7 linked regions of the Oryctolagus cuniculus genome follow. The protein of the gene in region 1 purifies or fractionates together with the protein of each later gene. This does not show direct contact. Links are inferred from orthologs where the notes say so. Each region holds a gene or a part of one and is shown in the gene's direction. Other genes may lie near its edges.

Evidence for each region.
Region 2: the proteins of ITCH (region 1) and CFLAR purify together in Homo sapiens (affinity purification with western blotting; 8 studies listed by BioGRID). This does not show direct contact. The link is inferred for Oryctolagus cuniculus from reciprocal best matches to the Homo sapiens genes ITCH and CFLAR.
Region 3: the proteins of ITCH (region 1) and DVL2 purify together in Homo sapiens (affinity purification with western blotting; 4 studies listed by BioGRID and IntAct, with this or other methods). This does not show direct contact. The link is inferred for Oryctolagus cuniculus from reciprocal best matches to the Homo sapiens genes ITCH and DVL2.
Region 4: the proteins of ITCH (region 1) and MAVS purify together in Homo sapiens (affinity purification with western blotting; 3 studies listed by BioGRID). This does not show direct contact. The link is inferred for Oryctolagus cuniculus from reciprocal best matches to the Homo sapiens genes ITCH and MAVS.
Region 5: the proteins of ITCH (region 1) and SMAD7 purify together in Homo sapiens (affinity purification with western blotting; 4 studies listed by BioGRID and IntAct, with this or other methods). This does not show direct contact. The link is inferred for Oryctolagus cuniculus from reciprocal best matches to the Homo sapiens genes ITCH and SMAD7.
Region 6: the proteins of ITCH (region 1) and CPSF6 purify together in Homo sapiens (affinity purification with mass spectrometry; 5 studies listed by BioGRID and IntAct, with this or other methods). This does not show direct contact. The link is inferred for Oryctolagus cuniculus from reciprocal best matches to the Homo sapiens genes ITCH and CPSF6.
Region 7: the proteins of ITCH (region 1) and AMOT purify together in Homo sapiens (affinity purification with western blotting; 3 studies listed by BioGRID). This does not show direct contact. The link is inferred for Oryctolagus cuniculus from reciprocal best matches to the Homo sapiens genes ITCH and AMOT.

The regions. Positions count from the first base shown.
Region 1 is NC_091442.1:23,587,456-23,590,427, reverse strand, and holds part of ITCH (E3 ubiquitin-protein ligase Itchy homolog), read left to right. Parts: intron 1-2,156; coding exon 2,157-2,256; 3' UTR 2,257-2,972. UniProt on the Homo sapiens protein: Acts as an Acts as an E3 ubiquitin-protein ligase which accepts ubiquitin from an E2 ubiquitin-conjugating enzyme in the form of a thioester and then directly transfers the ubiquitin to targeted substrates.
Region 2 is NC_091434.1:38,896,614-38,901,345, reverse strand, and holds the start of CFLAR (CASP8 and FADD-like apoptosis regulator), read left to right. Parts: upstream 1-1,553; 5' UTR 1,554-4,732. UniProt on the Homo sapiens protein: Apoptosis regulator protein which may function as a crucial link between cell survival and cell death pathways in mammalian cells. Acts as an inhibitor of TNFRSF6 mediated apoptosis.
Region 3 is NC_091448.1:51,839,141-51,843,644, reverse strand, and holds the start of DVL2 (segment polarity protein dishevelled homolog DVL-2), read left to right. Parts: upstream 1-1,345; 5' UTR 1,346-1,566; coding exon 1,567-1,760; intron 1,761-3,818; coding exon 3,819-3,888; intron 3,889-4,504. Other genes in the region: PHF23 (PHD finger protein 23), read left to right, coding at 1-15, 113-327.
Region 4 is NC_091442.1:29,181,009-29,185,027, forward strand, and holds part of MAVS (mitochondrial antiviral-signaling protein), read left to right. Parts: intron 1-1,475; 5' UTR 1,476-1,555; coding exon 1,556-1,672; intron 1,673-2,619; coding exon 2,620-2,794; intron 2,795-4,019.
Region 5 is NC_091441.1:28,938,005-28,942,023, forward strand, and holds part of SMAD7 (mothers against decapentaplegic homolog 7), read left to right. Parts: intron 1-3,356; coding exon 3,357-3,895; 3' UTR 3,896-4,019. UniProt on the Homo sapiens protein: Antagonist of signaling by TGF-beta (transforming growth factor) type 1 receptor superfamily members; has been shown to inhibit TGF-beta (Transforming growth factor) and activin signaling by associating with their receptors thus preventing SMAD2 access.
Region 6 is NC_091442.1:71,555,565-71,560,297, forward strand, and holds the start of CPSF6 (cleavage and polyadenylation specificity factor subunit 6), read left to right. Parts: upstream 1-1,498; 5' UTR 1,499-1,596; coding exon 1,597-1,656; intron 1,657-4,733. UniProt on the Homo sapiens protein: Component of the cleavage factor Im (CFIm) complex that functions as an activator of the pre-mRNA 3'-end cleavage and polyadenylation processing required for the maturation of pre-mRNA into functional mRNAs.
Region 7 is NC_091453.1:80,573,129-80,577,147, forward strand, and holds part of AMOT (angiomotin), read left to right. Parts: intron 1-902; coding exon 903-1,025; intron 1,026-2,160; coding exon 2,161-2,393; intron 2,394-3,490; coding exon 3,491-4,019.

The DNA.
Region 1 (2,972 bases):
CTTCCATATGGGATGCCAGTGTCCTAGGTGGCAGCTTAACCTGCTGTGTTACAACACCAGCCAAGTGGCTTCCTCACCTCTGTCAGACAGCTGCCCCTGGGATTGTTAATTTCATTTTTTGATTGTTGATTGCTAGTGTATAGAAATACAATTAATATCTGCATTTTCCTCTTAGACACATTTTGATCTCACCTTTAATCCCTTATTTTCCAACTTGGAACAGACTTTGCTGTGCTGCAGTTATAGTGTTGCAAACAACTTAGCTCAGGTACACCTGTAAACCAGCCTCATTACTTTGTCAGGATGCATGTTTCCATTTGCAAGAACTAACACTAGATGTACATTTCTTTTCATGGCAGCATTTTTTTTTCCCCTATGGCAAAGATTTTTCACCCTCCATTGGCTGCCTCTTTTTTTTTTTTTTTTTTTTTTTTTTTTTTTTTTTTTGACAGGCAGAGTGGACAGAGAGAGAGAGACAGAAAGGTCTTCCTTTTGCCGTTTGCGGTGCACTGTGCTGATCCGAAGCCAGGAGCCAGGTGCCTCTCCTGGTCTCCCATGGGGTGCAGGGCCCAAGCACTTGGGCCATCCTCCACTGCACTGCCAGGCTACAGCAGAGAGCTGGCCTGGAAGAGGGGCAACTGTACAGAATCCGGCAACCGGACTGGGACTAGAACGCGGTGTGCCGGCGCCGCGAGGCGGAGGATTAGGCTATTGAGCTGCAGCGCCCGCCCAATGGCAAAGATTTTTCTAAACCTTATCCTAAAAATATATGAGGACAAGGCTTTGGGACAGATTCATTATGTATTATAATGATACTGATAGGCCCCCATATTACAAGATGTCCTTTTAAAAACTCACAGCTGGGGCTGGCATTGTGGCACAGTGGGTTTAGCCTCTGCCTGTGACACTGTGACATACTGGAGCACTGATTCAAGTCCCCGCTGCTCTTCCCATTCTACTCCCTTCTGATGTGCCTGAGAAAGCAGCCATCCACATGGGAGATCTGGATGGAGTTCCAGGCTCCTAGCTTTGGCCTGGCCCAGACCAAGCTGTTGTGGCCATTTGAGAAATGAACCAGCAGATGGAAGATCTCTTTCTGACTTTCTCCCTCTCTGTCACTCTGCTTTCAAATAAAATAAGCCTTTTTTTTTTATTTTTTTACTATAAAATAAATCTTAAAAAAAAAAAAAAAAACACAGCCACCAGTAGGACAGAGAAATTCAATGGGAATAGAATATTAGAGCAGAAAATAGTTTCCTATTCTTAAAAAGGTATAATTTAGGGGCTGGCACTGTGGTGTAGCAAGTAAAAGCCACTGTCTGCAGTGCCAGCATCCCACATGGGCACTGGTTTGAGTCCCAACTGCTCCACTTCCATCTGGGGAGTGAACCGGAGAATGGAAGACCTTTCTCTAACTCTGCCTTTCAAATAAATAAATAAATAAGTATCTTTATTAGAAAAGGGGTATAATTTAAATTTTGATAAGAGACCCTATGGCCCACAGTTACTCTCTGGTCCTTTCCAGAGAACATCTGCTGATCGCTGAGGAAGATCAGAGTGAATGAGGGCATTTTAGTATGTGAGGAGCACCTGGTGCTGTGCTGAGTGCTTGTTTCTTGCCTCTGAGAGATAACTGTTGTTACTCTCATTCTCGCAGACCAGAAACTGAGACTTGGTAAGTTAGGGAGCACTTGCTTAAAGACCTGGTGACAGAGCTGGAATTTGAACCCAGTTTTGCCTGACTTTAAAATCAGTGTTGTGTGGCAGGCATTTGGTGCTTTGGTTAAGTCATCCTGTATCAGAGGGCCTGGTTCAAGTCCTGGCTCCTCTGTTTCTTGCTAATACACTCTCTGGGATGTGTGATGGTGATGGCAGGTAATGGCTCAAGTGCTTGGGTCCCTGACACCTACACTTATATGAGAGACCTTGATGGAGTTCTGGGCTGTTGGTGTCAGCCTGACCCAGTCCTGACTCTGGTGAGCTTTTTGGGAGTAAATTACTAAGTGAAAGATCTCTCCCTCTTTTCTCTCTCTCTTTCTTCCTTTCAAATGAAAATAAGTGAAATTAAAACCAGTGTTTGCTTTATTACACTGCCCATGTGATTCTTTGTATATTTCCTTTTCTCAAGCTTACAAATTTTTTTTTTTTTTCCCCAGTTTTAACCGCCTGGACCTGCCACCCTACAAGAGCTATGAGCAACTGAAGGAAAAGCTGTTGTTTGCCATTGAAGAAACAGAAGGATTCGGGCAAGAGTAACTTCTGAGAACTTGTGCCACCAAAGGATAAGAACTTACTTGCAATGCTTGTCCTTTTCCTTCTCTGCTTGTTGCACATCTTGTTGTAAAGTTGGACTGTGACTTTAGAGAGTTACTGAGTATAAGTAAATTTGTCTCCCAGTGATTCTGGATTTCTCTCCAGCACTTCCAGAAATCTTATCTGCAAATGACTTGTGAAACCTTACTTAACATGAGATTTAACAGCAATGAAATCTGCCCTGTCTTATTCTACTAGATTGTTTCCTTAACAATTTTATATTTGTGTCAGAAGTCTCACTTGGGAGTAGGGTTTTGTATTTTTGAGATTCTGCAGATATGCCGGGAAGTCCCTTAGTAACAGCAATATACAAGATCTTCCTGTTAAGCCTCTTGATGAGAGGTATATGTTAAAAACACAGGCTTGGCCCAGTTTCTGGGGATGTGAACAGACCTAGAGCTTGTGCTCTTCCTCTCATTTCAGCCTGGCCTGACTGTTTTTCCTTTCTGGAGCATGAATCCGTGCATCATTTTGATGTTATTCCTGGAAGTGATGCAAGACTCTTCCATCTCTTCTACAGAGTAGCTTTGTGTGACTTCAGGGAAAAGTTGCTCCTCGCCCACAAACGACTTCACACCTCTCCTCATTTGGAAGTTTGATTGTTTTAATTGCCTTGAAAATACTAAACTTTGCAAACAATATTGACACCATGGTTCCTT
Region 2 (4,732 bases), on another chromosome or scaffold:
GGGTGAACCAATGGAAGGAAGATCTTTCTCTCTCTCTCTCTCTTTCTCTCTCTCTCTCTCACTGTCTAACTCTACCTGTCAAATAAAAAAAATTATACAGGGAAAAAGAATAATTTCAAATGGAGAAACTTGTCAGACATGGCAATAATAAAGTGAAAAATCAAAGTGAACATTATCAGTTTTGTGCCACCTGACAGGATAAAATAAGAAGAAGAAATTGCTCCTGTGATATTTTGCTTAAAATCTTATTTTGTCTGATATCAGCATAGCCACTCCAGCTTTCTTTTTTTTTCTTTTTGAAAAATTTATTTTATTTATTTGAAGGGCAGAGTTGCGGGAGGAGGGGAGGAGGAGAGAAAGAGAGAGAGAGAGATGTCTTCCACCTGCTGGTTCATTTCCCAGATGGCTGAAATGGCCAGGGGGATGGGTCAGGCCTTGTCCAGGAACCACAAACTTCATCCGGGTCCCCACATGGGTGCAGAGGCCCAAGGATTTGGGCCATCTTTGCCTGCTTTCTCAGAAGCATCTGCAGGGAGCTAGATTGGAAGTGTTGTAGCCAGGACTGATGCCTGTATGGGATGCTTTAACCATTATACCACAACACGGGTCCTATGAATTCCTAGATTCTAAATAACTTTCATCATGGTATATTTTCTGAATTTTATTTTCCTATTCATAATTGTTGTTAATATCTTACTGTGCCTCATTTATAAAATACTTTATCAAAGGTATGTGCATATAGGAAAAAACACAGTATATGTAAGATTGGGTACTCTGTGTATTCAGGCCTCCACTTGCAGTCTGAGAACACACACACAGACAGAGACACATGCACACACACACACCAGTAATGGGGAACTGCTGTAGTCACCTCTGTAACTCCTCTCCTGCTGTTCTAGTCCAAGGCTGTATCAGCATCTGCCTGGGAGAACCCTGGTACTCTCTCTGAAGTCTTCACGTCCATTTGTGCCCCTTCAAATGTGTTCCCCCAGGAACTGGACAGTGTCTTCCACATGCTAATATGATCCCAATGCCTCTACTCCATCTCTGTGTGTGTGTGTGTTTTAAGATTTATTTTAATTTGAGAGTCAGAATTACAGAGAGAGGGAGAAAGAGAGAGACATCTTCCATTTGCTGGTTCACTCCCCAGATGGCTGCAATGATCAGGGCTGGGCCAGGCCAAAACCAGGAGCCAAGAGCCTCATCCAGGTCTCCCATGTGGATGCAGAGGCCCCCCCCCCCCCCCCCGCTGCTTCCCCAAGTAGTTTAGCAGGGAGTTGGGTCAGAAGCGGAGCAGCCAATGGAGGAACCAGTGCCCATGTGGGATGCCTATGCTGCAGATGGCGGCTTTACTCGCTACGCCACAGTACTGGTTGTTCTACTCCATCTTTCACTTAAAATACTAAAGTCGGGCACCTTTACTCAAAATTTCAAGGGTTCTTGCTGTATATTTAGATCAGAATTCTAAATATCAGCTGCTTATAAATGAAACAGGCAACATGGTACAGTTTTCAGCCTGTATTCAGTGAGAGAAATACACAGGAAAGTGAGGGTTTTTTTTTTTTTTTTTTTTTTTAGGGGAAAAGAAGTCTAGAGTAGAAAGAAGTCTAGAAATTAAGTTGGGTTGATATCAGGCAGAGAGCAGGTAGGGAACCAGGTGGAGCAAGTGTGCAGTTAGGAGCAGCCACAGGTAATGTAGCGTGGGCAGAAAAGCAGAGAGCAGGCAGCCAGAGGCCACAAGCCCAAGGCTTAGTGAGGTGGAATAAGGCCATGCCAAGATGGCCGCTGGCAAGTGAGTGTCAGTTACTCAGGAATGGCTTTGAAACCCACCTGGCAATGGAGCCTGCCGGGCAACAGGCTGTGATTGGTTAGGGCATAGACCGCCCCTTGACCGGATTGGCTGCCTTGGCTATATAAGCTGTTGTACCAACTGAAATAAATGAGCCTTCGGGCTGCTCACCTCTGGCCCACTTTCACCCAACTCTCAGGGTCGTATGGTGACTTGCGCCTCTTGCCCCCACCACACTCCTCATCTCAGAACGAATCCATAGCAACAGCGTGGGACAACAAGGGGCCACTCCAGCTTTCTTTTGGTTGCTGTTTGCATGATACGTATTTCTCCATTCTTTAACTTTCATCCAATTTCTATTTTTTAATGTAAAGAATGCCTCCTATAAAGGCATACAATAGGAACATAGTTTTTGTTTGTTTGTTTGTTTGTTTGTTTAATGCTATATAGCAACCTCTGTCTTTGGATTATTTAATACCTTTTCATTTAATGTTATCATTGACTTAGTTGGATTTATTTATGCTATTTTACTTTCTGTTTTCTATGTTTCAGGTCTTTTCTGTCCCTCTAATCTGCCCTTCTGTGTTTTGGAATTGTTATTTTTGTCATTATTTAGTGTTTGCCCCAGATTTACCGTATACATATAATCAGAAGTAGGTTCAAGTTTATACTAGCTAGTTGCAGTTATTCCTGTATACCTGTATTCTCTCTTCTTTTCTTTTGTGGTATTTTACACAACATATTTAACATTAGTTAATGTTACACACCTAACAGGACATTGTTATAATTATTTCCTTACCATTTGTTCCCATTGTCTTAGTCAAATACAACTTTATTTCCACTCACTGCCTTTGTGCTATTATTGGAGGTTTCACATGTATTACATTCCTATATGTTACGGGCCCAACATTCCATTTTTTATACAATAAGTTAATAAGAGAAAATATTCACTTAAATTATCTTTTACAACTAGTTATAAAATTATCTCTCTGGTGCTTTTTGCTTTGTTTTGTTTGTGGATTTGAACTACTGCCTGGGATCATCTGCTTTCATCTGAAGAACTTCCTTACGTGTCCCTGTAAGACAGGTTTGCTAGCGTAACTTCTCTACTTTTTGCTCCCTTGGAAATGTTTTTATTCCACCTTCATGTTCATAAGACTGCTCTGCTGAGTAAAGGATTTTTGGTTGCAGCTTTTTCCTCTGGGAGGTTTGACTGCAATTTCCAGTGCTGCTGGTCCTTAATACTTTTACTGAGAAGTCATTGTTGACCTTACTGATGTTTACTGGTAATTAAGGAATTGTTCTCTTGCCCCTCTCCCCACCTGCCTTGTCTGACTTTGAACTTTTTCACTGTGATGTGTCTGTTGTGGATCTCGATGTGTTTACCTACTGGGACTTCGCCGAGCTTCCTGGGTGTGTAGCTTCCTGTTTCTCAATATATTTTTGAAGCTTACTGCCATTAATCCTTTGAATAGATTTTCCCCCCTTTGTCACCTTCCTCTCCTTCCAGTATCCTTATTTTATTGGTCCCACATTTCTCTGACACACTTTTCATTTTTCTATTCTTTCTTTCTGTTTCCCTTGGCTTTGTGTAGTCTCAATAGATTTATCTAAAAGTTAGTTTATTCTTTTTTCTACCAGTGCAGATTTCTTCTACTGTGGGGCCCCTAATGAAGTTATTTCAGTTACTATACTTTACAGTATTTCCAGAATTATGCTGTCCAGAATTTCTATTTGGTTTATTTTTATAATCTCTGCTGCTTTATTGATATTCTTTATTTGATGTAACATCAAATAGATATTATCATTGTAACTTCCTTTACTTTGGTTATACTTTTCTTTAGTTCTGTAAACATGTTTATAATGGCTACTTTGAATTCTTTCAAAATGATAAATCCAACATCCGGTCATTCTCACAGGTGGTTTCTGTGCTGGATTTCCCCTCGCCCCTGCTCCAGTGTGTGGGTCGTATTCTCTTGTCTCTGCGCGCCTCATAATCGTTTGTGAAAGCAGGGCACTGAACATAATGCACTGTAACAGCCCTCAGGACTGGTCTCTCCCCAGTTACTGTTACAGACTGTCCTGGTCTTCTGATGATTTGACTTAACACTTTTCTGGCTTTAGATATACAAAAGTGGTATGCATTTGAGAAGCAGCTGTACTTCAGATTTCGAATTTTGATCTGTTCCTAGGGTGGCAATATGGAGTACAATTCTCTATCATGATATTTTCAACAGTAGTAAGCCATATCTCCCACTAGACCACGGATCACAAGGGTATACTGCACTGGGTTGCTAAGCTGTGATGGTTGGTAGGTTAGATGTATTAAATCCATCTTGACTAATGATAGTTTCAACTTTTGGTGGGTTTGTAAGATAAAAACCCTATCATAAATTGAGAAGCATCTGTTTTTGCTTGTTTAGTGACTGCATTACCTGAGGCAAATTCACTGCATACCACCAGCACCACACACAGTTTTAGTTTTTTAAAGTTGTCACCTTGGATGGCAGTGGCTTCTGACAGAGCTCTCTTCCTCTGGTTCCCTGACCACCTCCAACTGTTAAACTCCGCTAACTGCTGGCTTTGTTCCTTTGTTTTTAACAGTACCCTGGATATAAGTAACTATATAAACAAATCCAATCAAATGTGTACTCCTTTGAAGGAACAGGTATTAGTTGTTTCATATTTTATTTGTTCTTATCCAAGAAGGGCTCCCCACCCAGCTGTATTTTTTAAATTATTTATTTATTTATTTTTTATTTATTTATTTGAAAGGCAAAGCAACAGAGACAGAGGGAAAGATGAATGGGAAAGAGAGAGAGAGAGAGTTCTTTCATCTGTTGGTTCACTCCCCAAATAGCTGTGTGGCAGGGCCCCAGGGACCAGTGTCATCCTCTGCTGCCTTCCCAGGCACACAGCAGACAGCTGGATCAGAAGTGGGCT
Region 3 (4,504 bases), on another chromosome or scaffold:
TCATGGTGGAATCAGGTGAGGTGGGGGCTGCCTGGGCAGCGGGGACGGTGGGGTGCGGGGTGTTTGGATCCAAGAGCACAGGCAGGACATCCAGCAAACCTTCTTTCCCCAGGTGATGACTCATGGGACCTGATCACGTGTTACTGCCGGAAGCCCTTCGCAGGGCGGCCCATGATCGAGTGCAGCCTATGTGGGACGTGGATCCACCTCTCCTGTGCTAAGATTAAGAAGACCAATGTCCCTGACTTCTTTTATTGCCAGAAATGCAAGGAACTGCGGCCTGAGGCGCGGCGGTTAGGGGGGCTTCCCAAATCTGGAGAGCCCTGACACTGCCAACTCCAGGCTGGAACTGGCAAGTGACGATTCGGGAACTGAGCCTCGGGGGCTTCAGCCCATCCCCTGGAGTCTGGATGTGGTCCCCGCTTCAAGGCAGGAACGCCCAAGGCAGACTTCGGAAATGAGTCTCACGGTCCCTCCCTCCCCTCCCTCCCCAGCCTGTGGACTGGAGTGGACGTTGCGTTGGGCGTGGGAGGCTGTCGGGGGCCCCGGATGCAGCATCTTGGACCTGCCAGGGTTGGAATTGGGATGGACTGGGACAGCTGTCTATAAACTCTAGTGTAAATATAGCATTCCCCTCCCTCATCTTTTATTTTACTCCCAATTTATTTTCTTCTACACCGGTTGTATTTTTAATGTTGGACTTCCTCTTTCGAGCGTGGCGGCTCAGAGGTGGAGTGAGCCTGGCCAAGCGAGCAAGGAGAGCGGCAAGGTGACGGTCCTCACGCACCTCTTGTTTTTACTACTGGCCAGCCGTTTGTACAGACAGCCTGCGTGTTGTAAATAAAGCAGAGTGGGCTCTTTGTGTTTCTAGCCCTCCCTGACTGTCCTGCTTGGGGGGAGGCTCTGGGGGAGCTGGCCGCAGGGCACAAACCCACCTCGGCGTCCGGGCCTTCCCGCGCCGGGACACAACCCCAGGGGCTCCGTCGGCTTCTTCCCTCCACGCGCGCCCGCGGTCCCGCTGCTCCTGCACGGACGGTCGTGCGCAGTCGCTTCGCGTTCCCGCCCGGACGGCGCAGGGCGCCCCCCACCCCGAAGACGGAGGTCCCCAGGACACGGTGCCAGCCGGGAGGACCTCCGGTGGGGGATACGCTCGGGGGCGGAGTGGGTCGGGGCTGGGAGACCGTTGCTGAAGGCAGCGGTCACGTGGAGGGAGCGCTGGGAGGAGCCGAGTAGTCACGTGATGGCGGAGGGGTCACGTGGCGAAGGGCGGTGCAGGGAGCGCGAGGTGGGCGGGCTCGGGCCACGTGACATGAGGCGAGGTGGGCGGGGCCCTGGAGGGCGCTCGCGACGTCGGCGGCGGTGGCGCGCGGCGGCTGAGTGCGCCGCTCCGGGGCGCGTCGCGCGGCCCGCCACCCTGCCGCACCCCGCCGCCTCCCCGCTGCCCCACGCCCACACTGGCTCTGTCGCGTCCGCGCTCCGGTCGGGGTTCGAGTGTGCGCAGGCGCGGCGGGCCGCAGATAGCCCCACTGGGTGGGCGGCGGAGCCCGGGAGCGCGCGGGCGAGACCATGGCGGGCAGCAGCACGGGGGGCGGAGGCGTCGGGGAGACGAAGGTGATTTACCACCTGGATGAGGAGGAGACTCCCTACCTGGTGAAGATCCCAGTCCCCGCCGAGCGCATCACCCTTGGAGACTTCAAGAGCGTTCTGCAGCGGCCCGCGGGTGCTAAGTACTTTTTCAAGTCCATGGATCAGGATTTCGGGTGAGCGCGAGGCCTAGCCTGGGACTGACGGGGGCTGTACCCGCACGGATGGGGCGTTCTGCAGGGGGCACGGGTCTGCTCTGGGTTACACGGGTTTTCTGGCCTTCAGTGGATCGGATTGTGCCACACTGAGGCAGAGTGGCCGTCCCAGGACGGACAAGGTTATGCCTGGACAGATGGATGCACACGGAGCGATAAAGTGGAGAAGATTGGGCCATATGGAATAGGTGGGGGCGCGCAGGTTGGTTTTGGGGTGGTCGGGACTGAGCGTTTTCCTGTAGCACACAGCTTGTGTGGAGACAGCCTGCAGTCTCTTGACATAGCCGGGCTTGTGTTGGCGGCAGTTGGAACGTTGTGGCAGAGACAGGATTGTTTGGGGACTCCATGGAGTGTATGCATGCTAATGCAAAAAAAAAAAAAAAAAAAAAGTTGCGGTGTTCTAGGCTGCCTTGGAGTGGGCTACTGGACGGGCTGGGGTCATTCTGGTCTCTTGGTTGATCCTAACCTAATAACTCTTCTTCGGCACGCATCGGGGCACTTAGTACAGGGCAGATAAGGCTGTTGGGGCTTTTGCTAATACAGACAGCTGTATTGGGATAGTCTAGTCTATATTGGTGCAGACAGCTGCATGCAGGGACGTTGTAGGCTGTGCTAGAATAGATTGGGCTATCCTGGGGTAATTTGGGGATTCCTGGACTTGACTGGGACTGTAAATAACATATTCGAAGCCCTTTTGTTTTTCTCACTTTGGGGAATGACCACTCTTGTTTTGACTGCTCAGTTGTTTCACTGGCTGGCTAGATTGTGTTGATGGCTTGGATTTTAGGGGGACGGAACAAACTGGACTCTGCCTAAAAAGGTCGTTCAGCGTGGGGAGAGTGACAGTTGTCTTGGGAGTTATCTTGGGCTTAAATCAAAGCTCTTGGATTGGTCAGCAGTGTAATCTTGGGCAATTTCATTTACCTTTGTGCGTTGATTTTTCTCACATTTGAGATAATCACAGAGTGAAATGCTTAGTTCCCGCGCTTGGCACATGGGAAACTCTTGGGGCGTGGTCATCGTTGTCCTTGGCATTGAGGCCCACAGGTCCACAAACTCGGTTGTGGTGATACAGAATAGCCTGCCGTGGAGTGGGTTGAGCTGTGCCAAGATGGGTTATATTGGGAGAACACTAATTACACTGAAACAGATTGGTAGTGGCTGGGCCCTGTTGTCACATAACTAGCAAATGGATTCAGTTGGTGTATATACACACTCCCAGAGGCATATTAGGCTAAAGGGTTAATCAGACAAGATGTTCTGATTTGGGGAGGGGAGAGGGTGTGTTTGTGAGACAGAGGAGAAACCAGAGAATCTATTGGTTTGTGTGTTTTGTTTGTTTAGTCAACAAGTGTTAATGCTGCGTGGTCAGGGCGTGGTGTACAACAGAATGGGTGCTGCTGATTGCAAGGGGTGGTTGAGAAGAAAGGGGGGCAAGTCCAGTCCACTACAGGGAACACAGGGGAGCTGGTGGGGCTTTGGGGTCTTGAGACCCAGCATGTTGTTGAGAGCAGAGTTCTTCCAGGGGAGGCACAGGGGAACGGGAAGCCTGGCTTCCTCTCTTCTTCCCAGCTCTCAGCCTAAGGAGATGCTGTTGGTTCCTCTAATGGGCTTTTGTCCCCTGACAAAGACAGCACATCTGGACCACTCTCTGGAAGTGGATTAGAAAAAACTAAAGGGAAGTGGGAGAGTAGAAGCTTGTATGAGGTTGGGGAAGGTGTGTACGGAACAGGGCTGGGTTTGGGGACGGCTACCAGCAAGGCTCACTGGCAACCAGGTAACCACAGGGGTTGGCCTTCCAGTCATGCTGCAGGAAGTCTTTGGAGCAGCATTGCCCCTGAGGGCCAGCTGGGGCGAGCAGGCGAAACGTGGTGGGAGTGGGGTTTGGAGGTTGTTTCCCTAGGAGAGAGGGGGAACGAGGCAGGGGGTGGCCGGCATCCTTGAGCTGGGTGAAGACGGAGAAGCTGGCGGCGGGGGTGGCTGACCCAGCCTCGCTGACCTCGTCCTGTCTCCCGGCAGGGTGGTGAAGGAAGAAATTTCAGATGACAATGCCCGCCTGCCCTGCTTCAACGGAAGGGTGGTATCCTGGGTAAGGGCCCATTCCCTCTGGGTTCCCAGGCTGCTCCCAGCCTCATCTGTCTGTAGCCTCTCCCTGCCCAGTCATTGCCCTGGCCCTTTGCCTCCCTCCCTGTTTGGAGAGCCAGTGGGAGCTCCTCGGCTTTCTTCTGGAGCCTCTGCCATGAGGGGGCTTCAAAAACGTTCATGGGAAATGCATAGTATGAGAAAAGGATGCGTGGGCTTCAAAACAGGGTGCGTGGGCATGCGTCAAAATAAAGTTATTATTACTTTTTTTTTTTTTTTTTTTTGACAGAGTGGGCAGTGAGAGAGAGAGACAGAGAGAAAGGTCTTCCTTTGCCGTTGGTTCACCCTCCAATGGCCGCCACGGCCGGCACGCTGCAGCCAGTGCACCACGCCTATCCGCAGGCAAGAGCCAGGTGCTTCTCCTGGTCTCATGCAGGTGCAGGGCCCAAGCACTTGGGCCATCCTCCACTGCACTCCCGGGCCACAGCAGAGAGCTGGCCTGGAAGAGGGGCAACCGGGACAGAATCCGGCGCCCTGACCGGGACTAGAACCCGGTGTGCCAGCGCCGCAAGGCAGAGGATTAGCCTAGTGAGCCACGGCGCCGGCCTATTGTTACTTTTAAA
Region 4 (4,019 bases), about 5.6 Mb from region 1:
TCCATCCACTGCTTCACTCACCCAAATGGTCGTAGCTGCCAGGGCTGGGCCAGACTGAAGCCAGGAACCTGAAGTCTAGCCAAGTCTCCCACATTGAGTGCAGGGGCCCAAGCACTAGGCCCATCTTCTGCTGCTTTCCCAGGTCCATTAGCAAGGAGCTGGATCAGAAGTGGAGCAGCCGGGACTCAACCATGCTCCTCTGGGATGCAGGCTTTGGCTTAACCCGTGGGCCACAGCAACGGCCCCAGGCTGTTTGTCTTACTCCCTGCAGCACTTCCTGGTGGGAGAGGCAAATAGGAAACCAGCAAACACTGAGTGTGACTTGTGCTAAGAGCCGCTGAAGCAATGGCTTGTATTAGAAGCACTTTAAAAACTGTGAGCATGTGGGGCCAAGTGATGACTGTCAAAGTAAGCTCGCGGAGCCATTTGAAGGTGAGGAAGAATCTTGGAAGAGGTGCATGCTGGGTCCCGGGTCCCCCCACGAGCTCAGGGCGGTGGGGTGCAGTCTCCCTGGAAGCATGGGCACGCGGCACGCTACAGCCACGGCCCACAGTTGTGTTCCGGAAAGAACCTGGTGCTGAGGGTCCCGGCTCTTTGCTCTTCCACGTCCAGCAGCCCCTGGGCTTCTTGGTACCTCGTTTTCTCCATCTTTAAAGTTAGATGATCCTATTGCTATCAGATTGGCCTCCACCACCATCACCCCCAACCTACCCCAAAGAAGCAGTACTTCAAGATGGGGAGTTATTGCTATTGTTCTAAGGGCCTTAGAGCTGGGAGCAACTCACAGACTTGGGAGCCAGGGTCATGGACAGGGCCCCGTCCCCCATGTGCTGGGGGTACAGGCAGACCCCCTTCCATGTGCTAGGGGCACAGGCAGACCCCCTCCATGTGCTAGGGGCACAGGCTCCAGCACCGACCAAGCTACAGGACAGACATGGGCCCTGCATCACCTGCATCTCCTTTTGGTCTTCAGTTCATTGTTGAGCAAATTCTTTGAGAGCCCCTAGGATCCAGGCAATTAGGACATTTAAAGAAATTGAGGGGCCAGTGCTGTGGCGTAGCAGGTTAGGCCGCTGCCTGCAGTGCCAGCACCTCATATGGGCGCTGGTTCTAGTCCCGGCTGCTCCACTTCCAGTCTAGCTCTGTGCTATGACCTGGAAAAGCAGCAGAAGATGGCCCAAGTCCTTGGGGCCTTGCACCCACGTAGGAGACCCGGAAGAAGCTCCTGGCTCCTGGTTTCAGACTGGCCCAACTCTGGCCATTGAAGGCATTTGGGAAGTGAACCAGCGGATGGAAGACCTCTCTCTCTGTCTCTCCTCTCTCTGTGTAACTCTGACTTTCAAATAAATAAAAAAAAAGAAAGAAAGAAATTGAAGATGAAAGATAAAAGCAGAATTCCAGCAGGCTGAGCAGGAAAGAAATGCCTTTGCCCCGCCCCTCCCAGCCCCGTGGCCTTGCCTTCTGCTCTCTTCCAGTCTTCCCCGTCTCTCAGTCCATCGCGCTCGGCCATAGCGCTCGCCGAGTCCAGGGCCCCGTCTGCAGAACTTGAGCGGCGATGACGTTTGCTGAGGACAAGACCTACAAGTACATCTGCCACCACCACAGCAGCTTCTGCCGTGTGGATGTTCTAGAGATCCTGCCTTACCTGCCCTGCCTTACGGCAAATGACCAGGTGAGCCCAGCCCCCGCCGGTTCACCCCAGCCAGGGCCAGCTCCTTCCTTGCCCCTCGTGGACCAGGGGTCTTCAAAAAATTCCTAGGAAACGCATATTCGGAAACCGCCCACATGTGGATTCCAAACCTTCCTGCACCTACATACACTTGTCTTTCTGATGTTTCTGCAAACTTTTCCCAGGCCCTGTATGCCGCCTCTTGTCCCTGCTACTTGGCGCACTGTGTGGTGGGGTTGGCTTTGCCAGCCTCCCCGGCTCCCTCTTGTGTTTGATTTCGTGTAGTGCTTCGGCTGGCTCCGGTCCCACTGTTCTTCGGAGCCCTCTCTTCCCTTCCTCTAGTCCTTGTCCTGCCCAGATTTGATTCCATTCTCCTCGTCCCAGGACCCTGCCCCACGGGCCCCCATGGTTCCAACCGCACCCAGCACAGAGAAAAACGCCCCTCCCCATTTCAGCTGCTGTCTCCAATGGGAGCCCTGCGCTCTCTTTCGGGGTCTCCTGTCTTCAGGCGTCTCAGGGCTGATGGGGTTTGACCCCTTCCTCTTGTATGTTGCATCTTGAAGATCCCTTATCGCTTAGCAACCGTTTTCTGTGTTTTGCTTCTGTTTTGTGGCTTGTTTTCATTTTGCTCTGGGGGGGGTTTCTGGTCCCAGGGCTTTTGCAGGCAATACATTTTGCTTCTCATCAGCAAAGGAGAGCTAATTACAGGACACTCAGAGTCCACTTCCCGGCAGCTGCAGTTGGTCGTTGGCTATTGGCTGCTGCTCATGGCTCTTCCTCATTCTGTTCTAGGGCCCTGATCCTGGCTTTGTCCTGGGCCAGGGTCCAGTGTCCAATGGCTGCTCCCCACTGGGGTCTCTCGGTGCCCCTCTCTGCAGTTGTCACATGCTGGGTGAAGAGGCAGCCAGCGACAACTGGCTTGAGCACGACTCCGGGGCTGTGTCTTCCAGGATCGGCTGCGGGCCTCCTACACGCGCCTGGGCAACCGAGACACCCTCTGGGACCTGTTCAACAGCCTGCAGCGGCGGACCGGCTGGGTGGATTCCTTCATCCGGGGCCTGAGGGCCTGCGAGCTGCCGGAGCTCGCTGACCAAGTGGCTGGCGAATATCAGCGCCACCTGCCTCGTGAGCGTCCTGCCCTGGCCCCGAGACCCTGCCTGCTTCCTCTGCCTTCTCTACCCTCGCCTCTCCCTCCTTGGTACCTCCTGCCTTTGTCCTCACCCTCCCACCCGTCTCCTGCCATCTGTGGGTGAACCCGAGTGTGGAGCCTGGCTGAGCCTTGGGCTTTCCCTCTGTAAGATGGGGCTGATGGCAGTTTCTGCACTGGGCAGATTCTGCGGGACGGTGCGTGTCGAAGGGGCCGACTCCTCTGATTTGTCGGGCTGTGTTCTTTGCCTGCTGCCTGCTTCTGGCCTCCGGGTTCCTTCCTCTCCACACCCACGTGTCCGCCCTCCCTCTCTCCACTTTACTTCCCCTCCTCCTGCTCCCCCTGGAAGCCTTCTAGCCCTCACCCCAGGCTGCTCCGTTACCTCTCAGCTCCCTTCCGCTGCCCCTTCCTGGCCCTGGTGCTGGGGGCATTTGGCATGGTCAGGAGAGGAGAGGGCCTGGGGGAGGGAGGGAACCAGCCTTGTTCATACCAAGGGACTTCAGGAAGCTCGTGGAAAGAACAGTTTGAAAGACACGTTTATCTTGGTGCCCCCCCAAAAAAAATTAAATCCATGCAGTTTTTATAGCATGCATTTCTTTCTTCCTTCCTCCCTCCCTCCCTCCTTCCCTCCCTCTCTTTTCTTTTTTATTTTTTCTTTCCTTCCTTCTTTCTCTCTTTTGTTTTCTTTCTTTCTCTCTCTTTTTTCTTTTGAAAGGCAGAGTTACAGAGGGAAAGGGAGAGACAGAGAGAGAGAGAGATCTTCCATCTGCTGGTTCATTTCCCAAATGCCATCAATGGCCAGAGCAGGGCCAGACTGAAACCAGGAGCCAGGAGCTTCTTCCAGGTCTCCCATATGGGTTCAGGGGCCCAAGCACTGGGGCCATTCTCTGCTACCTTCCCAGGCGCATTAGCAGGGACCTGAATCAGAAGTGGAGCAGCAGCCAGGACTCGAACCAGTGGCCAGATGGGATGCAGTGACTTTACCCACTATGCCACAGTGCTGGCTCCCATAACATGCGTTTCTGTGAGGTTTTTTAATTAATTAATTTATTTATTTATTTTGCCAGGCGGAGTGGACAGTGAGAGAGAGAGACAGAGAGAAAGGTCTTCCTTTGCCGTTGGTTCACCCTCCAATGGCCGACGCGGCTGGCGCGCTGCGGCTGGCGCACCGCGCTGATCCGATGGCAGGAGCCAGGTACTTAT
Region 5 (4,019 bases), on another chromosome or scaffold:
CTTCTGCCCTGCTGGAGCCCCGGGGAGGGGGCTGCGGGCCCGGGCACCTTGCACCCTGGCAGAGAGACTGCACATGCATGCAGTCCAGTGCCTTGCAGAGGTGAGAGCCAGGAAGACCCCCGCCTCCTGGCTGCTGGCCAAGCTCACCCATGTCCTGGAAGGGCTGAATCTTGGAACGTCTGCTCCCCATGGGTGCCTCCTATGTGCTCAGAATCCCACAGGTGCCTCTGGGACAGCCCCAGCTCTCTGGCCTGGAATGGCTTCGTACCCCATTGTTGGTCATCTTTGTCTTTCAGTTTAGAAATCAGGAAGAAGACAGTTTCTTGCTGACCCACTGTGGGGCCTTCGGGTCCGGTCACCCTGTGCCATTGGCCAGGGTCTGAGAGTCCCTGAGCTGCTGGTCTCCTGTCGGCGGCAGGAGCGCCTTGCTGGATGGTCACCCCCCACCCTCCGCCCCCTTCCCTTTAAAGGGGAGAGTTTATGCTTTCAGGAAAAGGAGGAAGGGGAAGGGGGGGAAAACACCTTAAAGGAATTTTAGGCAGACTCAGCATGTTTTTGGTGTTGCTCCAAAAATTCCCTAAAGTGTAATAAAAAGAAAACGCTCGCAGGCATTGATTAGTGAGCTTTTCTTTGGGATGCTTTGAAATGAGCACATGCAGTTGGGCAAGAAGCTGGGTGCAGTTCCTGCGGGAGGGCAGGAGGCGCTGAACACACAGGGGAGGCTGTGACCTTGAGGGCAGGGCCCCTGGGCTCTGCCTTTCGGAGGTGATGGCCAGAAGCCGAGGCTGAAGGCCCGGGGACTTCTCAGCCCCTGGCTGCCTGGCCTGGGAAGCCCCGGGCCAAGCGCCCACACCGGCCCTGTGGGGAGACTTTGTGGGCTGCGGGCCCGATTCGGGGAACTGGTCTGTGACAGTGACGCTGAGTGCTTCCCAGAAACCAGCCCGGCTGGCGGGGGCTCTGCCGTGTGGGGTGCCCCGGGAGCACCCAGGGCTGCGTGCCCCGCAGTGGATTTGCTGGGGAGCGTGTCTTTGTGCTAGGAAGAGCCCTGACAGGAGGCAGAGAGCGGAGCTGCCCTGGGGGGGGGGGCGGGAGGGGGGCACCCTGCCGGCTCTCAGGGGCCCTGTTTACACTCAGGGACACCCTTTATCTGGGCTGGGCCATTAACCTCAACAGAAAGAGGCTTTTTCCAGGAGAGGTCTGGTAGCGGGGTAGCTACGCGGGCTGCCCAGATGAAAGAGAATCCCGCTGGAGCGCCCCTCCCCGCCCCCTCCCAGCTCCCTCTGCCCCGAGAGGCCCCGCCCCTTTGGGGCCTGGCATGGGGCACCTAGGTCCTCTTCCTCCTTGCTCCCTGCCAGTGCCTGCCAGCTTCCAGTGGCGCTAGGCTGCCTGACACCCAGTGGGGCTCCCCGAGGGAGGAGTCTCCCACCCCCAGCGCCCCTGCCCAGCCCCTCTCCCAGGCCAGGTGTGTGCTGGGGGCAGCCAGGGCTTTCTCTCCGCCAGAGATCTTCTGGCTTCCGTGGCTGTCACCGGCCTCTGGTGTAGCCTTGGGAGGTGAACTCCCAAGTTCAAAGATTGCCCGCACTCGCCGCTTTATTAGCAGTTGATGGATCCTTTGCAGACGCTCGATGCCTGATGATTCACTCTTTGCTCAGAGCCCTTGCCTCTCTCATGTTTTCCCATATGTTGCAAGGTGTGTGTGTGAGAGAGAGAGAGAGAGAAAGAGAGAGAGCACACACAGCCCAGGGACACACAGTGCTCTCACGCACGCTGCCATAACACATACACTTAGGCAGCGCACGCCCGGCCATCCAGGGATGGGTGGTGACCGCCAGTCTCTGGGCATAGATTTCAAAGTTGGGGGTGGAGAGGGAGGGGGAGAGATGAGCCCTGCCACGGCCACAGCTCAGCACGCGTGTGTGTGTGTTCGTGGCTGCCTTGGTGGAGTGCAGTGTGTGCATTATTTGTGCAGACTTATTCACAGGCCACCTCCATCCAGGACTGGCTGCTGCTTTAGGAAAAAAAAAAAAAAACAGCACTAATGGAGCCGACTGGTGCCCAGGTCCCAACATGCCTGCAGAAGCTGGAATGAGTCTGTGTTAAGCTGCACCGGTTCCACAGCCCACTGGGGTTCAGGACAGGCGCCCCGAGCCCTCCTCCTACCGCCGACCGACCCCTGGGACTGGGCAGCTCCCTGTCAGGGCCTCTGGGAGCCCGGTTGCTCCCAACACAGACCCCAGCGAAACGCGAGTCACACTTCAGTCCCTGCCAGCCCACCAGACGGGGAGGGCCGGGCTGCAGGGAGGGTGGCATGCCGGGCTTTCTTGCCTCCCTCCCCGTTCCCCGTTCCCCGTTTTCTTTTTTCTTTTTCTTTTCTTTTTTTTTTTTTTTTTTTTGTTAACAAATACAAGACTTCCGGTCTCCACCCTGCCGCCACAAACCACAGCGTCCCTGCAGCCTGGCTGGGCTAGGGAGATTTATGGGCCCCAGTCTGAGGCCTGCCCGCTGGCTCCAGCTTAAGGAGGAGTCGGAATGCCAGCCGCCTGGCCCCCTGCCCTCCCTACGATCCCCCCTCCCTTGCAGGTCCCCGGAGCAGAGGGTTGGGAAAATCACCTTAACAGACTCACCCTGGGCTCTGCAGAGCCGGGTGGGGCCTGCAGGAAGGCCCTGGGGGAGGAACAGCCTTGCACTGTGCAGGGTCAGGATGCCTAGGGGAAAAGGGGGAGGGGGCACCCCTTGGCACGGCCACTGGGGCCACTTCCAGGACATGGTCCTCTCTGTTTTGGACTCCTCACCTTCTGGCTGGGCAGGAACCAGTTTTGTTAAGGTAGTCTGGCTTGATGTCCCAGTGTGTGTTGTGATTGGGCATTTTGAATTGACCCCTTTTGTGCAGAGCTGCTGGACAGTGGTGGCGGGGGACCACCAGGGTGCTGGATCTGTCTGTGTCACTGCCTGGCTCTGAGTAACAAGCTTTCTGGGTCCTGGGTTTCCCATCAGGACAGCCCAGGGCGCTGGCATCAATGGCTTTCAAAGTTGCGTCCAGTTGAAACAGCTGTAATTCCAGGCCACCTGTAACCTTAAAAGCAAGAGCCACGAGACTCAGGCACCTCTGGCCCGTGCTCTGCAAGGATGGGGCTTCCCTGGCCAGGTTGGGGGAGCTCAGGGCTGTGCACCAGGAAAGCCGGGCTCTTCTCTTACTGGGTCACGATTCCAGACTCCAGGGCCTGCAGCCGGTCCAGGACCACGGCCGCCCCTCCTCCCTTCTGCCTTGGCACTGAGTGTGTGTTTTGGTCCTAGAAGCAAAAGCAAACGCCAGTCCCCTCCGCCACCAACCGTGCGCCCCCCTTTTTGTCTTGCAGATTCCCAACTTCTTCTGGAGCCTGGGGATCGGTCACACTGGTGCGTGGTGGCATACTGGGAGGAGAAGACGCGAGTGGGAAGGCTCTACTGTGTCCAGGAGCCTTCCCTGGACATCTTCTATGATCTACCTCAGGGGAACGGCTTCTGCCTCGGACAGCTCAATTCGGACAACAAGAGTCAGCTGGTGCAGAAAGTGCGGAGCAAAATCGGCTGTGGCATCCAGCTGACGCGGGAGGTGGACGGCGTGTGGGTCTACAACCGCAGCAGTTACCCCATCTTCATCAAGTCCGCCACACTGGACAACCCGGACTCCAGGACACTGCTGGTGCACAAGGTGTTCCCCGGCTTCTCCATCAAGGCTTTCGACTACGAGAAGGCGTACAGCCTGCAGCGGCCCAACGACCACGAGTTCATGCAGCAGCCGTGGACTGGCTTCACCGTGCAGATCAGCTTCGTGAAGGGCTGGGGCCAGTGTTACACCCGCCAGTTCATCAGCAGTTGCCCGTGCTGGTTGGAGGTGATCTTCAACAGCCGGTAGCCGCGTGGGGACAGGACAGAGCATGAGCCGAGCAGGCCAGCGTTCAAACTACTTTGCTGCTAAGGTTTCCCTCCCGAATGCTTGCTTTTCATGCAGACTCTTTGGTCGTGTTTTTTGTTGTTGT
Region 6 (4,733 bases), about 48 Mb from region 1:
CCAGACACTTTGGCCACCTTCTGCTGCTTTTCCAGACACATTAACAGGGAGCTGGACATACGGGGAGTCGGCATTGCAGGCGGCAGCTGAATCTGCTGTACCTCAACGCCAACCCTATGCATTTCAAAAAATTAGAGACTGGGTTTAGCACTGCGGCGCAGAAAGGGTTCTGACACAGTGGTTTGGTCACCGCCTGTGACGCAGGCCTCCCAGCTGCCCCCACTTCCACCCCAGCTCTCTGCTAAAGGCCTGGGAAAGCAGGGAAAGGCCCTAGTGCTTGACCCCCTCGCACTCTTGTGTGAGACCGGGAATCATCTCCTATTAGATGCTGTTGTGCTCTCCCTCTCTGGGACTCTATCTTTAAAATAAACAAATACATTTTTTAAAAATGCCTGAGATTGAAGATGAGAGCAGATAATTCAACTGAGGTCTTCTAGCTGGTAAAACGTCTCAGTAGAAATTTGCACCTTAGAGACTTGCATCCATATCCCCAGATGGGTCTCCCCGAATGCAACCAAGCTTTCCCAACTACAATATGTACAAATGTCCCCTGGCTTATTATATTTATTGTGCAGATGATTTCTGGCCAGTCTGTACCTGAGGAAACATTCTAACCTGATGGGATTTTAAATGAGTGAAAAAGAAAGAAAGGTGGGGAGGTGTTCCAAATTAGAGAGGCATTTTGAATAAATCATTGATGGCAACAGGCTCTCACGGGAACCCCGGTTGAATCGCTTAGGTTCTCCTGGACCTGTTTTCTCACCTGTAAATGAGCTATTTGTACCTAATGACACTCTTCCCAGTTCCCTTCTGGCTGGGTCATTCTATAATTCTAAGAGAGAAGGCTCCGGCCTCCAGCTACCTTGACTTTGCTGGGTGGGCTCCCAGGTGATTGCATTCAAGTGAGAAGCAGCTGAACTACGCCAGCGAAAACCTACTGCAGAGCTAAGCAGGGAAAAAAATGAAGGAGGGAGACGGGAAAGTGGCCAACGACGCCTGGCGAAGGAGACACAAACTGTATGCAAATAGCTCAGACCACCAACGGGTCCGTAGCGTGCACCAGGCAGAGCCGAGTGCTGCCCCGGTAGGATGCAGGAGGACATCGCTCCCCGTCTCTCGGCGCTCCCAGTGCCCGGAGCGTACGCTTCGTATTTGCGCGTGGAATGCGAACTTCCACCACTGCTAGAAGCCCTGAATGTGAGAAACGTAGGAAAAACGGAGGATCGAAAAAAAATTTTTTTGGGGGGGGAACCATTCGAGGGTGCCAGGAGCCACGCGAAAAGGCGGTCTCTGGAAACCAGCGGTATAGGCCGGCAGCGGAGGGACACGAGTTGTCCACGCCGCGCCCCCTCCCCAGCCCAAACCCCACGCACAAAACAAACGGCCGCAGCCGTCGGGAGGAGGCGCAGCTCCTCCTCCCAGTCCGCACAGCGGCCCCGCTGCAGCGCCCTCGCCGCCCGCCGCCCCCGCCTCGGTCCCTCGGGCCTCGGAAGTGACGCAGCGCGCCCCGCCCCCGCCGCCAGATCCGCTGCTGCTGCCGCGGCGGGCGGATCTGCAGGAGGCGGCAGCGGCGGCGGCGGCCGAGGCCGAGGGAAGATGGCGGACGGTGTGGACCACATAGACATTTACGCGGATGTGGGCGAAGAGTTCAACCAGGTACGTGTGGGCCTGGGCCCGCGCCGCCGACGCGGGCGACGCTGCGGCCTGGACGCCGCGCCGGGGGCCCGCCGCGGGCCGCGAGCCGACGCTGCTGCAGACCGTGCGCCCTTGCCGCCACTCGGCCCCGGCGCCCCCCTCGCCCCCTCGTTCTACCGCGTCGTTTCGCGGGCCGCGGGCGCTGCGAGCCGCCGCAGGGCCTGGAGCGCGGTCGCGGGCCGCCGTGCAGGCGCCGCTGGCCCCTCCCTCGCCGCCGCGGCCTCGGGGCTCCCCATTGTTGGCGGCGGCCGGCGAGCGCTTTCCCGCCGCGCTAGGCCCGGGCGGCGGGGCCCGCGTGTGCGCGGCGGGGAGAACGGGCCGCCGCGCCCCCTCCCCCGCCGCCGGCTGGAAGAGGAAGCCCCGGCGGGGCGCGCGCCCGCCGCCCCTGCCGCCCCTGCCGCCTCTTCCCCGGCCGGGCCGCTCGGGCTCCGATTCCTCCCGTCGCTCCATTTTGTCTCGCTGTCCGCGCACGGCCGCCTCATGGAAGGCCGCGTTCACGACCCTTTGTATTCCGCGCGCCCCGTCTCCGGGACGCTCCCGGCCGCTTTCGGCGTGGCGCCCTCCTCCTCGTGCCCGTCCCACTTGGTGCAGGCGCCGTCGGTGCCAGCACGTTTGCAACAAGTCTTTGGATTTGGGGCGCCCGCCGCTTGCGTGCAAAAGCCCGTGCCCTGTTAATAACAGAGGAGCTTGCAGTGCATCCTAGTCTCAGCCGTTCTGGGCCTTTGTGTTGAAAATAGCCGCGGAGATAAGTGGCTGGGGCCGCGACCAGGAATTGGAGGCGCGCAGTGGGGTTTGGATGAAACAAAAAGATGGTTGCTCACGCCCAGATGAGCGTGATGAAGACGTAGACAAGGTGTAGTTTCAAAATACGGAGTGCGAGGTGGGACCCTGTTTTCGGAGGCTCGTGGTTGATCCCCCACCCCACCCCCGCCCGGGCTCTGCTTAGGGTTTGAAAGGCTGCAGGAGGAGCCGGCCAGGTTTTCCAGTGTCCCATCGGACACGGTTGCCCGCGAGAACCAACTGGCCAAGCATCCTGGGAAAGGAACTCGTTTGTTGCTGGAGTAGTGACGTTTGAGCTCCGAGCCTGCGTTTTCTCTAGTCTCATTTTTTTTTTTTTAAATACATGTATAGTGCCCAACTGCAGTGCACCCTAAAAGCTTTTTTTTATGTCTTCCAGGTCCGCATACGAAGTTTTAATATCCCCATGGTTAAAGTGGTTTTTTTTTGTTTTGTTTTGTTTTCTCTTTCCCTCCATTAACAGTTTTACAAATATGCAGACTCAGAATTACTGTTCTGTATCTTAGGAATGACTGTGTCTCTGGTTTAAGTATTAGAAAAGATATTTCCAAGTGGCTTTAAGTGTTTCCTATGCTGTTAAAGACTGTATGTGTTTAAATGTAACCCATTGTAGTCAAATGTGAAGTTTGAAAATGTGTTTTTTTTTTAAAACTATGCTTACGGTTTGAATACATGATGCCAATTACAGGTTAGAAAATTTCCTTGGGCTACACAGTGTTTTAAAGTTGGTAGACAAAGACCTCTAGGAAGTGTCTTTTATTTATCCAACGAGTATAACATTGCATCCAAAAGAGGGCCTGTAACTGCAAGCAAAGGAGCAGTTAAGTTCAAGACTATCTTGGTTGAAGAAAATACATTGCTTCACCTTGCTACGCACAGTGAAGGAAGAATTGCATGATTTAGAAACTGAGCTTTCTTCAGTGCCTCTTCATGAAATATTTTTAGGCTTTTTCATACTTAATTTATGAAAGACTTCTCGCTTATCCAGATAACTGGATGGAGTGATACTTTCTTATCCTTGTGCAGTAACTAGTGTTGAGTAAGCAGGAGGTAAGACATAAAATTTTGTGGACCTACTTTATAGATTGGCTTCTGATCTGCCTGTTGTGGTAATTCTGGTGCACAAAATGACCACGGAAGAGTTGTTGGGCATTTCCAATGGGGAAAAAAATCTTCAAAATAATTTTTCGAAATCTTATTAAAATTAAAGGTAACCACAACAGTTTTTGTGATGGGTTTATTTCATCTGTACTCCGTTATGAACCAGTTACCTTGTTTCTACTAATGGCTTGTAGTAAACTATGACATTTGATTGATAGAATGTTGTACAGTACTGATTTAACCAGTCTTTATTTTGGCTCCTATGTTGCTGTAAACATTTATAAAAATCTTTGTTTTTCCGTTGTGAACTGCAGTTTTAATGGCATTTGTATACTTTGGGATTATGTGTTGTCTGTATATTTTCCATTTTCTTGTTTTAACTGGTCATAGCTTTTATGAAATTTGTCGTCGTTTTTATGTTGCTAACGTTACTTTCACACAGTGAGACTTTCAGCAATCCTAGAAGAAACTTTATTTTGTTTGGGGATGGGGTGAAAATAAGTTAGTGAAATTGTAGTAGAGTTTCTTCTCCAGATGAATTTAAGACTAGAGAATGAAGAGGAGAAGGCACAAGGGACCCGGCTATTTTTCATGGGTGCTCTGCAGTTCTTAAATTGAAGGTCTTTGGATGTCACCGTATTGAGAGCATTTACTTCAGTCGAAGGAGAATTTGAATTACTTTCCTTTTTTAAAGAAGATTATTTATTTGAAAGAGTTACAGAGAGGAGGAGAGGCAGAGAGGAGTCTTCCATCCACTGGTTCACTCCCCAGTTGGCCGCAAGGGCCGGAGCTGCGCTGATCCGAAGCCAGGAACCAGGAGCTTCTTCCTGGTCTCCCATGCGGGTGCAGGGGCCTGAGGACTTGGGCCATCTGCTGCTGCTTTCCCAGGCCATAGCAGAGAGCTGGATAAGAAGTAGAGCAGCTGGGTCTCGAACCAGCACTCATATGGGAAACTGACACTGCAGGCGATGGCTTCACCCTCTACACCACAGTGCCAGCCTCATGAACTACACTTCTAAACTATACTTCTGTGTTACCTGAATTTGGAGTTGGATAGAAAGCAGTTCTGTGTATCAGTTTAAAGAGGATTTGTACTCAAATGTAGTACTTAGTAGGTTAATTTAAAATCCCTTTTTTCA
Region 7 (4,019 bases), on another chromosome or scaffold:
TTTTCTCACAGATCGTCATTCTTGTAGGAAGTCTAAAGAAGCAGGGCCAGTTCATTGTTTTCTCAGCCTATTGTTTGATTTCCTTTAAGATTAATGTAATTATACCAATATTTTCCCTTAGTCCTGATTTCTCTCTCTCTCTCTCTCTCTCTCTCTCTCTCTCACACACACACACACACACACACACACAGAGAGAGAGGCATATGTTTTCCCTTATTAATTGGTCTTTGAATTAATGGCCTGAGACATTTTCAGATGGAACATGATGGTCCCTTATACAGTTTGGACTTTGGCAAGAGAGCAGTCACTTAGGGTAGACTCATTGATTTGGTGCAGAATGTTTCAGATTTAGATTACATAGGAACCCCCATTGTTACACACCCAAAGACCCTCTTTTCAGCTCACATGGACTACCCAGTCTTTGTTGTTGACCTGTTCATTTGTTTCCAATGCTCAGGCATAGATCCCAACACTCATCTGTGGCAATAAGCTGACTTCCTTCAATGCCTACCCTTTTCCTTTTCATGATGGTCACTAGAATAAAGTAGAATGTAAACATATTCTTATTGTTTGGCCATGACCTAAAAACTTGAAGGACCATATTCCACAAGATTGGGGGTAGATATCTGTCCAGTTCTGAAGGCAAGCCTGTGTACATCTCATAGAATCTCTCAGTGACTCTTGCAGCTGCATCCATGCCAATAATCTCTTCATCTACTCTGGGAACTGAGACTTTTTTTCTTGGAAACTCCTACCAGTAAGTCACACAGAAACTAGCTGTTCCTAATGCGATTGACTTCAGCTTAGGGCTTTCCAGCAAAGCCTCCTTTACCTTGGGGTGGAGATAGCATTCATTTCTTTTGCTGCCCTCCTGTCATCATCACTGCCATTTTCCTCCCCAGGGATGCATCGGTCATCAGTCATTCTCCTAACACCAGTTATGACACAGCTCTTGAAGCTCGCATCCAGAAGGAGGAGGAAGAAATTTTGATGGCCAACAAGCGTTGCTTGGACATGGAGGGCAGGTATAAATGTCAATCTGGATGAAGATGAATCTGAGAATTTGGTGTAGAGACCAGATAGGTCAGTAGAGAAGGACACAGATATTTAGCGACAACTGGGAAGCCTGCTCACCCAGAATCCCCCTACCACCTTCACCTCTGCTAGCCTGTTACTTAGGGTTTGAGATGTGATGATCTTTACCTTGAAAATTCCTACCAATTGTTGAATTCTAAATAGTGTTGCTCTCCCCTATGCCTTCCTAATTGTGTTCCACCTGCCCTCTGCCAAAGTTCAAAGTTCAATTATTGGCATTTATACTCTGGATCATTCTTTGCAAAAAATATACCTTTAAGCCTATGATATAGCAGAATTCTTTTTTTTTTTTTTTTTGACAGGCAGAGTTAGACAGCAAGAGAGCGAGACAGACAGAAAGGTCTTCCTTCTGTTGGTTCACCCCCAAATGGCTGCTATGCCAGCGCGCTGTGCCGATCCGAAGCCAGGAACCAGGTGCCCCCTCTTGGGCTCCCATGTGGGTGCAGGGCCCAAGCACTTGGGCCATCCTCCACTGCCTTCCCGGGCCACAGCAGAGAGCTGGGCTGGAAGAGGAGCAACCGGGACAGAATCCGGCGCCCCAACCGGGACTGGAACCCAGAGTGCCGGTGCCGCAGGCAGAGGATTAGCCTAGTGAGCCACAGCACTGCTGATATAGCAGAATTCTTAATGAAAGAACATCCATTGAAACTGGGATGTAGGACTCCTGTTGCCTCCTGTAAACTTATAATCATTTATTATTACTGGAAGGCTATGGCTCATTAATAGAAGACCTCATCTTCTCATGGAACACATTGTTTTTGTTGACTCAAATTCTTCACAGCAGAGCCTGCCACACCAGTTCATTCTCTCCTACGTGGCCTTTCTTTTCACCAATACTTTACTTTGACCTTCTAAGGTGTAAGCAGCCACTCATAGATGCTCTACTGGGTGTTCAGGAAAACATTAAAAAAGTCATAGTACACCATTCCATAATATGCACTTCAGAATGAACTAGGCTACCCTTTAGTCAAAAAGAGAATGGGAAATCAAGTACTTGTAGGCAATGAGACCAGAACACAGAGGTAGCTCCAAGGTCTTTATATGTTTTTTGTCTTTGGTTCCTAGGATTAAGACCCTGCATGCCCAGATTATTGAGAAAGACGCCATGATCAAAGTTCTCCAGCAGCGTTCCAGGAAGGAGCCAAGTAAGACAGAGCAGCTGTCATCCATGAGGCCAGCGAAGTCTCTGATGTCTATTTCCAATGCTGGCTCAGGCTTACTCTCCCACTCATCCACCTTGACTGGCACCCCTATCATGGAAGAAAAACGGGAGGATAAGAGCTGGAAGGGGAGCCTAGGTAATGACAACTAAGGAAGATTATAGTCACACATTTAAAAAGATCTCCATATAGCAAGGAAAAAGGGTGACGCCCAGGTTCTAGAGAGGAAGATGTAGCTGGTCAGGATGTTTTCCTCCTGAATGGTTAACTACATATTGTAGAGCTCTGCCACACTGGGAAGTCTCATGGTGAGAACAATTAAAGAGGCCAGGGCCTGAGAAGATAAGAATTCTAAGTTCTTGGGTGGGAAGGGAGATAGCATCAGTGGCCTCTTAAAAATTTCTTCAATTTGGTCTTTGCTACACAGAATCCTTGTCCATGTCCAAAGCCCATGTGCCTCTTGTGCCATTCACAATTTCAAAATTCCAGCATTTCTTTGTTCTTTTCTCCCCTACAAGAGGACGACCCAGCATTCTACTTAATCAAAATCAATCTGGGTCGCAGGTTTTTGTTACCAGAACATTCTGATATGAGAACAGAATGTACTTTTTCCATTCCAAGCCTGTCCCTTCCATCCCCACTAATCAAAACCTCCAAAGTATTGTAGATACCATGGTACATTTTTAAAGCATGATGAAGGGAGTCATGTATATTTATTTACTTTAGCTCTTTGTGATGCTTTTTCACCTTTCTTGGTCCTCTGACACTTGCAAGTTCCTTTGCTTAGACCAGAGAAAGCATTTGGGAACCATGCTCATGTTCAGAACCATAGATCACACAATTAATAGCAGACTTATCTGTGTCTTAAGACTTCTTCCTCTGGTCATTTCCAGCTCTCTGGTAATGTGTGGTGTTGGTTATAAGTGGAACCGAGTGGAAGAATTCTTTCTAATCACCATTGGGAAAAATAAAACAGATACTCAGAACACTTCACTGTTTAATGTGTTGTGCTGGGAGTTGGATAATGAGGACCAGGGATCTTCCAAATCTAGAAGAAACCATTAGCCATGGTGGAAAATGCTGATAAGCCAACTCCTGAGTTTGCTGGAGGCAAAAAGGTTAAGAATTTAGGCCCACTCAAATTTCTCCTGAAGTCCTGAAGAGAAACAGATAATCAGATGTATGGATTAGAATACTGTATTGTTTCCTAACCTCTCTCCCTTGTTCATTTGCAGGCATTCTCCTGGGTGGAGACTACCGTGCTGAGTCTGTCCCTTCCACACCTTCGCCTGTGCCCCCCTCCACTCCCCTGCTCTCGGCTCACTCCAAGACAGGCAGCCGAGACTGCAGCACCCAAACTGAACGTGGACCGGAACCCAACAAGCCTGCAGCTGTTACTCCCATCTCTGTTCCTGCTCCAGTTGCTGCTGCCGCCACTGCTGCTGCCATCACTGCCAACACTGCCACTGCTGCCACCAACACCAACACCATGGTAGCTGCTGCTCCAGTCGCGGCTGCTGCTGTTGCTCCAGCTGCCACTGCTGTTGCTGCTGCCCCATCTCCAGCAACTGCTGCTGCTCTTACTGTTGCTGCTTCTCCAGCTGCTGCTGCTCAGATGCCAGCTGCTGCCTCTGCCACCACCGCCACTGCTGCTCCTGCTGCTGCTCTTGCTCCTGTTGCTGCTGTTGCTGCTGTTGCAGTTCAGGTTGCTCCAGCTGCTCCGGCTCCGGTTCTAGCTCCAGTTCCAGCCCCGGCTCTGGCCCC